2 linked regions of the Saccharomyces cerevisiae S288C genome follow. Changing the gene in region 1 together with any one later gene gives a genetic interaction. Each region holds a gene or a part of one and is shown in the gene's direction. Other genes may lie near its edges.

Region 1 (9,075 bases):
TGAGAATTCGTTAATGGAGATAGGGCTGATATGGGCTTTTGTGCAGCACTAGCATGGTCATTTGTGCTCGCATTGTTGTTACTTTGCGTATTTCTTCTGCGCCGTTTAATCCCATTTGGGTTCAACTTGAATGGCTTGTCAGTTGAAGCGTTCGGGAAACTAATAGGCGAGCGATTTACCTGCTGATGTGTATTTGTGTTATGAATTAAAACCTGCGACTGGTTCTGATTGGCTTGTGTGTTTATAACAGGACCAAGTTGTCGGTTAGGGAGCGATTGGTTTATATTTTGGGAAACATTATTTCGATTATGCTGCTGATCAGGTAAGATAGTATTTAGTGCGTTAGAAAATTGGTTGTTTAGCTGTGCAGTATTCGTATTCACATCTATGGTTCCATTCGTAGTCCGATGCTGGTTGATACCAGAATGGGTGTTGGAATCTCCTGTACATAAATCAGCAGTATGCTGTCTACCAGAGCCATTATTCTGCATTTTCTGCAAGTAAGCACTACTAACGGCTGATATCGAATTTAGCAATTCGATAGCAAGCTTATTTTGGGCATTGTTTGTGCTTGGGCGCGCGCTTGGCTGCGCAACCAACTTAAGTAATATATTCAATTTGTTCATAACTTTATAGTTATCTTGTTTTAGGTTTAAAACCATTGTATTCTGTTCCGCGATCTTATTAGATAACTTGTTGAAGCTTTCCTCCATCTCAATCATTCGGGCACTCATTTCGTCCATTCTTTGAAAAATCTTCAACTGATCCGTCGATATTTCGTTCGACGGTGAATCATTAGTCAAGGATTGGCTTAACATACGCCCTGTACCCGCCGTTGTCGAGTTCGAAGCGGAAACATTCGAGTTCACCCGCTCTTCATTACTCAGTTTTTCACCAATAGTTTCTGTTGGTTGACTGGTACCTGTGGGTGCTGAAATCGCTGCTGAAGTCCTCAAAAGACCTCCATCTAGTGCATTTCCATCGTTGCGAAGTGTACTGGCGTTACTGCCACTGGCGCTCTCTGAACCAGTCGTAGGCGAAATGTGAGTGGGCAGTGAGAGGTCAAGATTGATACCTATAGCATCTTCATTTACTTGACTATTCATCCTGTACCCATCCTTTAATGTAGTGGGCATCATTAAGAATAAGAAGAAAGGGCTCATCAGTGTAGAATAATCGAAGCTGATGGTTATCCTATAAATCTTTGTACGTACGATGCAAAGAATCGCAATACCCATTCCAGACATTATGCTCCAGCCATATGTACCCTAAATATAATCTTTTTTGTATATAAAAAACCTAAAAAAGAGATAACTAAACCTAGCTCAATATTTAATTTGACCTAACCCTCCGTCGGCCCTTTTTTTTTATTTTTTTCTTCGGAACGGTGCGCTATAAAGAAAAAAGGCAAATTCCAGGTTATCCATATAAACGCCATAACAAAATTTCATTGATACAGGCTTTAAGAACCTTGCTCTATTTACTACTGCTCTTTCTTCCTCTCTCAGGTTGAGCTATTTTTGAGAATAGCGCTTTACTGCTGCATGGAGGAGTGATTTTTTATAGAACATTGAAAAACCAAAGGACTGGTGCCTAACTACAAAATTTTCAAGAGTTGTTTCAAGTTATCTATATTGTCATTGGTTAATAATTATAAAAAATCTTAAAGTTTGGAGAGCCAAATTTTTTTTCTATATAAAAAAGCAAATGTCATTCAAGTTTCTGATAGAATCGCTGCTTCTCGGTTCGATAAGCGGACAAATACGGTGTGGTAGATCTTCGGTGATCCCCCGTGGCGATGTATCTTATGGGGGAGACGATACTGACGAACTTAACATGGATATAATGTTGTTTGCGTTTGGAACCTTAATCGTGGTCTACATCGTCATCTGTATCGTTTATTTTTTTACAAAACAGATAGCTACGCGGCTTATAACTGCATATTATAATGAGCATGGCCCTGGCCAAAGAATATCTTTATTCAGCGATTATGACGAAAATAATGCACACGTTCATAGCAGAAGATTAATGGAAAACATGAGTTTAAGGTGGCCCAACAATCTTGACGATGCTGATGAAGTAAGAGATAAGCTGGCACAGTTGTCACCTGAAGAGCAGTTTTATTATAAGCAAGGTGAGGAGTATATCAAGCAGAACCCACCATTTCTGCTTAACCAGGGACTTTTACAACAGTCCGAAGATAGCAATCCAGACACCACCCGTGAAGACCCTATTATGAACGAGCAAACAAGGCAATATATTCAAGAAGAGGGGGCTTATGCATGGGAGTTTAGCCCAAATCCTGATATGCCAAACCATACTGTCATAGTGGAAAATAAAACAGAGGTTTCTTTTCTAAATTATAATTATGATGCTTCTATATCCACAAATCTACCCATTCCGTGTATAAATAAAGTATATTATTGTGAATTCAAGATATTTGAAACGGATGGCCCACTAAACAGTGATGAAAATGTATCGAAAGGTGTCATCTCATTTGGTCTTTCCACACAGCCTTATCCATATTTCAGGTTACCGGGAAGACACCACCATTCGATAGCATACGATTCTAACGGCGCCAGAAGATTTAATGACTCCTTCAAACTAAATGAGCAATTAAGAACGTTATTTCCACAGTGTGAAAAGGGAGACATTGTTGGCATTGGCTATAGGTCACGTAGTGGAACAGTATTTTTCACCAGGAACGGAAAAAAACTAAATGAAAAATCTGTTGGTGGTCATATCCGCGGCTGGAAATTCCAATACCTATACCCGATCATTGGCTCCAACGTACCTTGTCAAATTCATGTGAATTTCGGCACTTATGGCTTTGTTTATATAGAAGCAAACGTTAAAAAATGGGGATACGCAAAGTCAAACGGCATTAAATTACCTCCTCCTTCTTACGAAGACTACGGTAAAGATACCCTATTAGAAAGCGGTGGTGAAGACAATGATTTCGACGAAGATTTTTCAGACGGTGATAGCGACAATATTGCGGCTGGTAGTACTACAAATCTCAATGATGATATAATTATAAGAAACGGTGAAATATTACCGCCACCACCTGGATTTGAATTCACTATGTCCCCTCCCACTGGAAAGAAGATCATCAATGAGGAAATTAATCTAGATTCCTTACCTATGCTACCACCAAGTTACTCGGACGATGAACATCATTCGAAAAATGATAAATCAGCAATAAGCGGACGAATTATTGGAACGAGCAGAAATTTAATTACTGATGAAGCATCTTTCGATAGTGTTGATAATGATAACGAAGATGAAAATGATCACGAGAGAGATCCCGAACAATTTTCAGAATTTGATGATTACGAAAGCAGGATGCATGGCATATAATACGAAAATGCATGAGATAGTAAGGCTGAAACACTAGCCCCGGTCAGTTATCTTTTTTTGCGCTGTATTACGCAGAGCCACCATTTTTTAAAAACATTGCAATTTATAACGTTTTCTTCCTTATTGAGGGTTTCAACGCTATCACCTACTCGATATCGCAGTGCAGCATATAGATATTTACATACATATATACATATGTTTACGTACACTAGTAAGGGCAACTGGTTGACCCGCAAACTTCCTTCTTACTTTCCGTACTTTTGCCATCTTTACTTGCACCTCCGTGCTACCTCTTAATGTGTCACAAGAAGAACGTATGAAGTATTTGTCAGCGCTTCAGACATCAGCATGGGTTGCAAATGCGTGAGATTAAAATGAAGCGTTCCAGCTCGAAAGAAAATTTGCTTATCTTTCCCTTCTATCATTTTTTTTTTCTCGTTTTTTATTTTGCATTGCCTTATCTTTTGCCGCCAGAAGAAACAAGGTTGCCATTATCGTGCCATGCGTTTACTTGCTAACGCCCTATGATGTTCCCGGCGGCTTTTGGATACTAATAATAGCAATCATATACCCTTTATTGGTTACTCCTATCCAATGATGAGTTTTTTTAACTCGTTTAAACATTAGGGATGCAATCTTGTCGACACTCACTGATCATATCCCGAATTTTGCTCAAGAATGTTCATATAAAGGGAGCGAATCCTTAAAAATACTTTTGGCCCATTCCTATCATTTTTACATTGCATGTCCATCAAAAACAATCGTGAAAATAAGCCAAAAGAAAAATGCCTACCTTGTATACTGATATCGAAATCCCACAATTGAAAATCTCTTTAAAGCAACCGCTAGGGTTGTTTATCAACAATGAGTTTTGTCCATCATCAGATGGAAAGACCATCGAAACTGTGAACCCAGCTACTGGCGAACCGATAACATCCTTCCAAGCAGCTAACGAAAAGGATGTAGACAAAGCTGTGAAAGCTGCCAGGGCTGCTTTTGATAACGTTTGGTCGAAGACATCTTCTGAGCAACGTGGTATTTATCTTTCAAACTTATTAAAACTTATTGAGGAGGAGCAAGACACACTTGCCGCATTAGAGACTTTAGACGCTGGAAAGCCTTACCATTCAAATGCCAAAGGTGATTTGGCACAAATTTTACAGCTTACCAGATATTTTGCTGGGTCCGCTGATAAGTTTGACAAAGGTGCAACCATACCATTGACTTTTAACAAGTTTGCATATACTCTAAAAGTTCCTTTTGGCGTTGTTGCTCAAATCGTTCCATGGAATTATCCTCTAGCTATGGCTTGTTGGAAATTGCAAGGTGCCTTAGCAGCCGGTAACACGGTTATCATCAAACCTGCTGAGAATACCTCTCTATCTCTACTTTATTTTGCTACTTTAATTAAAAAAGCAGGTTTTCCACCTGGTGTTGTCAATATCGTTCCTGGTTATGGATCACTTGTAGGCCAAGCCCTAGCATCTCACATGGATATCGACAAAATATCTTTTACGGGAAGCACCAAGGTCGGTGGATTTGTGTTGGAAGCTTCCGGCCAATCGAACCTTAAAGACGTTACACTAGAATGCGGTGGTAAGTCTCCTGCTCTCGTATTTGAAGATGCAGACCTTGATAAGGCTATCGATTGGATAGCAGCTGGCATTTTCTACAATTCAGGACAGAATTGTACCGCAAACTCAAGAGTTTATGTTCAAAGTTCGATCTACGACAAGTTTGTTGAAAAGTTTAAAGAAACTGCAAAGAAGGAGTGGGATGTTGCAGGAAAATTTGATCCGTTTGATGAGAAATGCATCGTTGGTCCAGTTATATCAAGTACACAGTATGACCGCATCAAAAGTTACATAGAACGTGGTAAAAGGGAGGAAAAGTTGGACATGTTCCAGACCTCTGAATTTCCTATTGGTGGAGCTAAAGGCTACTTCATTCCCCCAACCATCTTCACTGATGTCCCGCAAACATCGAAACTGTTACAGGATGAGATATTTGGCCCGGTTGTGGTTGTTAGCAAGTTCACAAATTATGATGACGCTCTGAAGCTGGCTAATGATACTTGCTACGGGCTCGCCTCTGCGGTCTTCACAAAAGATGTCAAGAAAGCGCACATGTTTGCTCGCGATATTAAAGCAGGAACTGTTTGGATCAACTCATCTAACGATGAAGATGTTACCGTTCCTTTTGGCGGGTTTAAAATGAGTGGTATTGGTAGAGAACTGGGGCAAAGTGGTGTTGATACCTATCTTCAAACAAAAGCAGTTCACATAAATCTCTCTTTGGACAACTAATGTGATAGTTATCATTATGTAAGTGCGTAAGTACCTAAATAGCTTAGCCTGACGACGGATGAATATGTTGACAGTCTAGCAAACAGTAGTAGTCCACTACTCGATATAAAACTGTAAGCACCATTATTTCAGCATGCGGAACAATTGTTGTTACTAGGTCCTAGAAATCCCTTAAGATGGTAAAAAAATAGAGCTATAAACTCAGTGAGATTTATTTTTGTGTCAAGAAATTATACTTGCGTGTTAGTTTTCTCTATTCCCACCATTACGTAGATCTTCCGTCTTTTTTTTTTCTTTTTCTGCATATGACGTCTGTTCTTCCTTCCCCCCCTGGAGTACAAGGAAAGTATCACTATTAGAACTCTACAGTACCTTTCTTCCACGCCCTTTAGTGCATTTAGGGATTTTCATTACTGCTAATCCAAGACTTGAACCGGATTGTTGATCAGCCCCCTTCTTAAGCTGATTGCTAAACTCCCTAAGGGTTAAGGAATTAGTAAGTTTAGGGAGGAGACAGGGAGATTGTTCAAACGAATAGCGTAGATTTAACTGATCATACCTCAGAAACTAATTGTATAAAATGGCAAATCTGGATGGGAATAAATTTGACTCATGCCAGGTAATTATACCTTGGACTTGTATCATAGAGATATAGATTATACACATTTAGAAAATTAGCCAAAAGAAAAATGCCTACCTTGTATACTGATATCGAAATCCCACAATTGAAAATCTCTTTAAAGCAACCGCTAGGGTTGTTTATCAACAATGAGTTTTGTCCATCATCAGATGGAAAGACCATCGAAACTGTGAACCCAGCTACTGGCGAACCGATAACATCCTTCCAAGCAGCTAACGAAAAGGATGTAGACAAAGCTGTGAAAGCTGCCAGGGCTGCTTTTGATAACGTTTGGTCGAAGACATCTTCTGAGCAACGTGGTATTTATCTTTCAAACTTATTAAAACTTATTGAGGAGGAGCAAGACACACTTGCCGCATTAGAGACTTTAGACGCTGGTAAGCCTTTCCATTCCAATGCTAAACAAGACTTAGCCCAGATTATAGAACTTACAAGATACTATGCGGGGGCGGTCGACAAGTTCAATATGGGTGAAACCATTCCATTGACTTTTAACAAGTTTGCATATACTCTAAAAGTTCCTTTTGGCGTTGTTGCTCAAATCGTTCCATGGAATTATCCTCTAGCTATGGCTTGTAGAAAAATGCAAGGTGCCTTAGCGGCCGGTAACACGGTTATCATCAAACCTGCTGAAAATACCTCTCTATCTCTACTTTATTTTGCTACTTTAATTAAAAAAGCAGGTTTTCCACCTGGTGTTGTCAATGTCATTCCTGGTTATGGTTCCGTTGTGGGGAAAGCTTTAGGAACCCACATGGATATCGACAAAATATCTTTTACGGGAAGTACTAAGGTTGGCGGCTCAGTATTGGAAGCTTCCGGCCAATCGAACCTTAAGGATATCACACTAGAATGCGGTGGTAAGTCTCCTGCTCTTGTATTTGAAGATGCAGACCTTGATAAGGCTATAGAATGGGTAGCAAATGGTATTTTTTTTAATTCGGGACAGATCTGCACTGCAAACTCAAGAGTTTATGTTCAAAGTTCGATCTACGACAAGTTTGTTGAAAAGTTTAAAGAAACTGCAAAGAAGGAGTGGGATGTTGCAGGAAAATTTGATCCGTTTGATGAGAAATGCATCGTTGGTCCAGTTATATCAAGTACACAGTATGACCGCATCAAAAGTTACATAGAACGTGGTAAAAAGGAGGAAAAGTTGGACATGTTCCAGACCTCTGAATTTCCTATTGGTGGAGCTAAAGGCTACTTCATTCCCCCAACCATCTTCACTGATGTACCAGAAACATCTAAGTTGCTGCGTGATGAAATATTTGGCCCGGTTGTGGTTGTTAGCAAGTTCACAAATTATGATGACGCTCTGAAGCTGGCTAATGATACTTGCTACGGGCTCGCCTCTGCGGTCTTCACCAAAGATGTCAAGAAAGCGCACATGTTTGCTCGCGATATTAAAGCAGGAACTGTTTGGATCAATCAAACCAATCAAGAAGAAGCTAAAGTTCCTTTTGGCGGATTTAAGATGAGTGGTATTGGTAGAGAATCAGGCGACACCGGCGTTGATAACTATTTACAAATAAAATCAGTCCATGTGGATCTTTCATTGGATAAATAATTCGTTACATAGTTATATAAATGTTTACATGAGATTCAAAGCTTCATATTCTATGAAATCTTTATTTTTTACGGCTTTAAATGAAGTGCGCGCAGCCATGTAAGCTAAGCGTAAGAGAATGAAATATTATAACCAACCTTCAGAGAGCAGGTGATGACAAAAGTTACGAACACGAGTTTGCATCCTAATAATAATGTTTAACCGTACCACTCAACTGAAATCCAAGCATCCCTGTTCCGTGTGTACGAGGCGAAAAGTCAAATGTGATCGTATGATACCGTGTGGAAACTGCAGGAAGAGAGGACAGGACTCCGAATGTATGAAATCAACAAAACTAATAACGGCTTCATCTTCCAAGGAATATCTCCCTGACCTATTGTTATTCTGGCAAAATTATGAATATTGGATAACGAATATTGGGCTGTACAAAACAAAACAAAGAGATCTTACTAGAACACCAGCTAATTTGGATACTGATACTGAAGAATGTATGTTTTGGATGAATTATCTTCAAAAAGACCAATCATTCCAATTGATGAACTTTGCTATGGAAAACTTAGGTGCTTTGTATTTTGGTTCCATTGGAGATATCAGTGAATTATATTTGAGGGTGGAACAGTACTGGGATAGAAGGGCAGACAAGAATCACAGTGTAGACGGCAAATACTGGGACGCACTAATATGGTCTGTCTTTACCATGTGCATTTATTATATGCCAGTCGAGAAGTTAGCAGAAATATTTTCAGTATATCCTCTCCATGAATATTTGGGTAGCAACAAAAGGCTCAATTGGGAAGATGGTATGCAATTAGTCATGTGCCAAAATTTTGCACGCTGCTCATTATTCCAATTGAAACAATGTGATTTCATGGCGCATCCCGATATAAGGCTCGTTCAAGCATATCTGATTTTAGCCACTACAACTTTCCCCTACGATGAACCGTTGTTGGCAAATTCGCTCCTAACACAGTGCATCCATACCTTTAAAAATTTTCATGTGGATGACTTTAGACCTTTACTTAATGATGACCCCGTTGAAAGCATCGCTAAAGTAACCTTGGGAAGAATATTCTATCGCCTGTGTGGATGCGATTATCTTCAATCGGGGCCACGCAAACCAATTGCACTTCATACAGAAGTATCCTCCCTATTACAACATGCAGCATATTTGCAGGATTTGCCTAACGTTGATGTTTACA
Region 2 (6,200 bases), on another chromosome or scaffold:
ATCTCTGCTTGTTTTGCTTATACTGTGCAATGCCATATTTTCTCGTTAATATGGCGTCTTGTGCATTATTGAATGGGTTGCTGCGACGTTGCTTATTTGGCATTGTACACGAACAGCTGCCCCCGGGTAAAATGTTTTAATAATAGAAATATCTTACATTAAACGGCTAAAAGAAAGGCCTATAGTCGTAATAACATTTATTTCCTACACATAACCCAGTTAATTAGCCACAGTGATATTCGATTTATGCCGCTTCAATTGTGCTTAAATCGTTGCATCGCTTCAGTAACTTTTAATTGTAATGATAATGCACGTCAATTTAGTTTCCCATTCGGGTAAACAGTATCAGGTCGAGATATGAAAATTGGCATTCCTTGGAGAATGTTAGCCAGAAGATCGATCAGTCGACTCCCCTATTGATTAACATTTCATCTTTGCATACTTGGCGTTTCTAATCCTTATCTTTTATTACCAAGAGTTCATTGTACTTTTAATAAAGTGAAATATAACGTAGCATCTCAAGAGCAAGGAGATTTTGATGAAAAAAATATGTCAGCTGACCCTATTAATGACCAATCGTCTTTATGTGTGAGGTGCAATAAATCAATCGCGTCTAGCCAGGTATACGAATTAGAAAGCAAAAAATGGCATGACCAGTGCTTTACATGCTACAAATGTGACAAAAAATTGAACGCAGATTCAGACTTTTTGGTTCTGGATATAGGTACATTAATTTGTTACGACTGCTCAGATAAATGTACAAATTGTGGCGATAAAATAGACGACACAGCAATTATACTGCCTTCCTCAAATGAGGCCTATTGTTCCAATTGTTTCAGATGCTGTCGGTGCAGCAACCGTATAAAGAACTTAAAGTATGCAAAGACAAAACGAGGACTATGTTGTATGGATTGTCACGAGAAATTGTTGAGAAAAAAACAACTATTACTGGAAAATCAAACAAAAAATTCATCGAAAGAAGATTTTCCCATAAAACTTCCTGAAAGATCAGTCAAAAGGCCCTTGTCACCCACCAGAATAAATGGTAAGTCAGATGTCAGTACAAACAACACCGCAATAAGTAAGAACCTTGTAAGCTCGAATGAGGATCAACAGCTCACTCCACAAGTTTTAGTATCACAAGAAAGAGATGAATCATCGTTGAATGACAATAATGATAATGATAACAGCAAGGACAGGGAGGAAACATCTTCTCACGCAAGGACGGTTTCTATTGACGACATTCTGAACTCTACTTTGGAACACGATAGTAATAGCATTGAAGAGCAGAGTTTGGTGGATAATGAGGACTACATCAACAAAATGGGTGAAGACGTAACCTATAGGCTATTAAAACCACAAAGAGCAAATCGAGATTCCATAGTGGTAAAGGATCCGAGGATCCCAAATTCGAACTCGAACGCGAATAGATTCTTTTCAATTTATGATAAAGAAGAGACAGACAAAGATGATACAGACAACAAAGAGAATGAAATCATCGTCAACACACCCAGAAATAGCACTGATAAAATTACAAGTCCTTTGAACAGCCCTATGGCTGTACAAATGAACGAAGAGGTCGAACCTCCGCATGGACTGGCATTAACTTTATCAGAAGCTACGAAAGAAAATAACAAATCATCTCAAGGTATTCAAACGTCAACTTCCAAATCTATGAATCATGTCTCCCCGATTACAAGAACCGATACCGTAGAAATGAAAACATCAACCTCTTCATCGACATTACGTTTGTCTGATAATGGAAGTTTCAGCAGGCCTCAAACAGCAGATAACTTATTGCCGCATAAAAAAGTAGCACCCTCTCCAAACAAAAAACTTTCAAGATCGTTTTCTTTGAAGTCCAAAAATTTTGTTCACAACCTGAAAAGTAAAACTTCGGAAATGCTGGACCCAAAGCATCCCCATCACAGCACTTCTATACAGGAATCAGACACTCATTCTGGCTGGGGTGTTTCCTCTACTCATACAAATATAAGAAAATCAAAAGCCAAAAAAAATCCTGTATCAAGAGGCCAAAGTGACAGTACAATATACAATACTCTACCACAACATGGAAATTTTACAGTACCGGAGTTTAATCACAAAAAAGCGCAAAGCAGCCTTGGCAGTATATCCAAAAAGCAAAATTCTAATGATACAGCCACTAATAGACGCATAAATGGTTCATTTACAAGTTCAAGCTCGGGGCATCATATAGCAATGTTCCGTACGCCGCCTTTGGAATCAGGGCCATTATTTAAGAGGCCATCTCTGTCATCTGAGTCCGCACACCACAGATCTTCTAGCTTACAGACGTCTAGATCCACTAATGCATTGTTGGAAGACGATTCCACGAAAGTGGATGCTACTGATGAAAGCGCTACAAGCTTGGAAAAGGACTTTTACTTTACTGAGTTGACTTTAAGGAAGTTAAAATTAGATGTGAGGGAACTAGAAGGTACGAAGAAAAAATTATTACAAGATGTTGAAAATCTAAGATTAGCGAAAGAGAGGCTGTTAAATGATGTTGACAATTTAACAAGAGAAAAGGATAAGCAATCTGCATCTTCCCGGGAGTCCTTAGAACAAAAAGAAAACATTGCAACATCAATCACTGTAAAGTCACCAAGTTCAAATTCCGACAGAAAAGGGAGCATATCTAATGCCAGTCCTAAACCACGCTTCTGGAAAATATTTTCAAGTGCTAAGGATCACCAGGTAGGCGATCTAGAATCACAGCAACGTTCGCCAAATTCATCTTCAGGCGGAACGACAAATATAGCACAGAAAGAAATATCATCACCGAAATTAATTCGAGTACACGATGAGCTTCCTTCTCCAGGCAAAGTACCACTGTCGCCAAGTCCAAAGAGATTAGATTATACGCCTGATGGTTCCCATTTATATGGATCTTCGCTACAAGCTCGATGTGCGTATGAAAAAAGTACTGTTCCAATAATTATCAGGTGCTGCATTGATCGCATTGAAAAAGATGATATAGGCCTGAACATGGAAGGCTTATACAGAAAGTCGGGCTCACAGACTTTGGTTGAGGAGATCGAAAATGAATTCGCTCAGAATAATTCGTTGCATAGTGATACATTAAGTCCCAAACTGAATGCTTTACTGAATCAAGATATTCATGCAGTGGCTAGCGTATTAAAACGATATTTGAGAAAACTACCAGATCCAGTTTTATCATTTTCCATATACGATGCCTTGATAGATCTAGTTAGAAATAACCAACTAATTGAGAGGCTACCATTAAACAACGACAAGTTTTTGGATTCACCACAAAAAGTGACTATTTATGAAATGGTGCTCAAAAGCCTACTTGAAATTTTCAAAATTTTACCCGTAGAGCATCAGGAAGTATTGAAAGTATTGGCAGCACATATCGGCAAAGTTCGAAGGTGCAGTGAAAGAAATTTAATGAACTTACATAACTTGTCGTTGGTCTTTGCACCGAGTCTTATCCACGATTTTGACGGCGAGAAAGATATTGTGGACATGAAGGAGAGGAATTATATCGTGGAATTTATACTTGGAAACTATAGAGACATATTTAAGCAAGCATAATACAGATTTGCAAAAGTTAAATAAACATAGGATAGATTAAATAAGAAATCATATGAAAAAAGAATAAAGTAAGAAAATAGTTCAATGTATATTCGTCAGTTCAGGGTGTGAAAAGGTGGCAATTTTTTTGTTTCCGACCCGTAACAAGTGTTCAATGGTGGTGAAGTCTTTTCTTGGCAAATTTCTATACTTCCCAAATTCTTCATGAATATAATTCACAAAATTAACTTGGTTTTCCTTTGGTTTTGTATGAGCCGTTCGTATGGAAGCCCTATACAGGTGTAAGACTTCTTTTTGTAACCCACTTAATCTCTTAGGCATGCTCTTGGTATTGCGTCTCCTCTTCTTCTTGTGTGTTTAAGCTACATTATCTTTGTTAAGAATAATTTGGCGAACCCCTTTTTTTCTTCGGCTTTGCAAGGTTAATTAATTAACATCTACCAGTTTTACTACATTTTAGATTGGTTCGTCCACCGAAATTTAAAAAAGCAGGATTGAAAGCGTACAACAACGTCTTAGCGAAAAAGATAATCCAAAATTCGATGCTTGTACACCTCATGTAGCTTCCTTATTAACATTTGGTAGTAGGCTTAGGCTATTTTTTGAAAAAGCCGTCATATATTACTTTGAGCCTTTGCGAATCCTCTCCAAAGTGTCGGTTACCTACCGGGAGGGATAACCGCGGATAGCCGTCATTTACCGAAAATTGCCGAGGTCATGCTGAGCATTTGTCGTACTTTTGTGCGGCGGAGCTTTGATACCTTCGGTAAGTGTCGGTATGTAATAGGTTAGTGGCATCTTATTTATTGTGTTGAGTAAAGTTTAAGATATAAACTGGGCTAGTTTGCATCGTCACTACAGCGGCAGCTCACTTTCATTTTTTTTCTGCGTTTATTAATACTACATAAAATCTGATATAAAACATATTTAACTGATCAACCCTCTCAACTTGATACTCAAAACAAGTTGACGCGACTTCTGTAAAGTTTATTTACAAGATAACAAAGAAACTCCCTTAAGCATGGCACCTGTTACAATTGAAAAGTTCGTAAATCAAGAAGAACGACACCTTGTTTCCAACCGATCAGCAACAATTCCGTTTGGTGAATACATATTTAAAAGATTGTTGTCCATCGATACGAAATCAGTTTTCGGTGTTCCTGGTGACTTCAACTTATCTCTATTAGAATATCTCTATTCACCTAGTGTTGAATCAGCTGGCCTAAGATGGGTCGGCACGTGTAATGAACTGAACGCCGCTTATGCGGCCGACGGATATTCCCGTTACTCTAATAAGATTGGCTGTTTAATAACCACGTATGGCGTTGGTGAATTAAGCGCCTTGAACGGTATAGCCGGTTCGTTCGCTGAAAATGTCAAAGTTTTGCACATTGTTGGTGTGGCCAAGTCCATAGATTCGCGTTCAAGTAACTTTAGTGATCGGAACCTACATCATTTGGTCCCACAGCTACATGATTCAAATTTTAAAGGGCCAAATCATAAAGTATATCATGATATGGTAAAAGATAGAGTCGCTTGCTCGGTAGCCTACTTGGAGGATATTGAAACTGCATGTGACCAAGTCGATAATGTTATCCGCGATATTTACAAGTATTCTAAACCTGGTTATATTTTTGTTCCTGCAGATTTTGCGGATATGTCTGTTACATGTGATAATTTGGTTAATGTTCCACGTATATCTCAACAAGATTGTATAGTATACCCTTCTGAAAACCAATTGTCTGACATAATCAACAAGATTACTAGTTGGATATATTCCAGTAAAACACCTGCGATCCTTGGAGACGTACTGACTGATAGGTATGGTGTGAGTAACTTTTTGAACAAGCTTATCTGCAAAACTGGGATTTGGAATTTTTCCACTGTTATGGGAAAATCTGTAATTGATGAGTCAAACCCAACTTATATGGGTCAATATAATGGTAAAGAAGGTTTAAAACAAGTCTATGAACATTTTGAACTGTGCGACTTGGTCTTGCATTTTGGAGTCGACATCAATGAAATTAATAATGGGCATTATACTTTTACTTATAAACCAAATGCTAAAATCATTCAATTTCATCCGAATTATATTCGCCTTGTGGACACTAGGCAGGGCAATGAGCAAATGTTCAAAGGAATCAATTTTGCCCCTATTTTAAAAGAACTATACAAGCGCATTGACGTTTCTAAACTTTCTTTGCAATATGATTCAAATGTAACTCAATATACGAACGAAACAATGCGGTTAGAAGATCCTACCAATGGACAATCAAGCATTATTACACAAGTTCACTTACAAAAGACGATGCCTAAATTTTTGAACCCTGGTGATGTTGTCGTTTGTGAAACAGGCTCTTTTCAATTCTCTGTTCGTGATTTCGCGTTTCCTTCGCAATTAAAATATATATCGCAAGGATTTTTCCTTTCCATTGGCATGGCCCTTCCTGCCGCCCTAGGTGTTGGAATTGCCATGCAAGACCACTCAAACGCTCACATCAATGGTGGCAACGTAAAAGAGGACTATAAGCCAAGATTAATTTTGTTTGAAGGTGACGGTGCAGCACAGATGACAATCCAAGAACTGAGCACCATTCTGAAGTGCAATATTCCACTAGAAG

The links. A genetic interaction does not mean that the proteins touch.
Region 2: of ALD2 (region 1) and ARO10, changing one enhances a phenotype caused by changing the other (phenotypic enhancement), as found in Saccharomyces cerevisiae (one study listed by BioGRID).

What each region holds. Positions count from the first base shown.
Region 1 is NC_001145.3:598,153-607,227, reverse strand, and holds ALD2 (aldehyde dehydrogenase (NAD(+)) ALD2), read left to right. Parts: upstream 1-4,145; coding exon 4,146-5,666; downstream 5,667-9,075. Other genes in the region: HOT1 (Hot1p), read right to left, coding at 1-1,247; EAR1 (Ear1p), read left to right, coding at 1,708-3,360; aldehyde dehydrogenase (NAD(+)) ALD3, read left to right, coding at 6,356-7,876; CEP3 (Cep3p), read left to right, coding at 8,070-9,075. UniProt on the Saccharomyces cerevisiae protein: Cytoplasmic aldehyde dehydrogenase involved in ethanol oxidation. Required for pantothenic acid production through the conversion of 3-aminopropanal to beta-alanine, an intermediate in pantothenic acid (vitamin B5) and coenzyme A (CoA) biosynthesis.
Region 2 is NC_001136.10:1,229,618-1,235,817, forward strand, and holds the start of ARO10 (phenylpyruvate decarboxylase ARO10), read left to right. Parts: upstream 1-4,600; coding exon 4,601-6,200. Other genes in the region: GTPase-activating protein RGA2, read left to right, coding at 550-3,579; SDH6 (Sdh6p), read right to left, coding at 3,661-3,900. UniProt on the Saccharomyces cerevisiae protein: One of five 2-oxo acid decarboxylases (PDC1, PDC5, PDC6, ARO10, and THI3) involved in amino acid catabolism.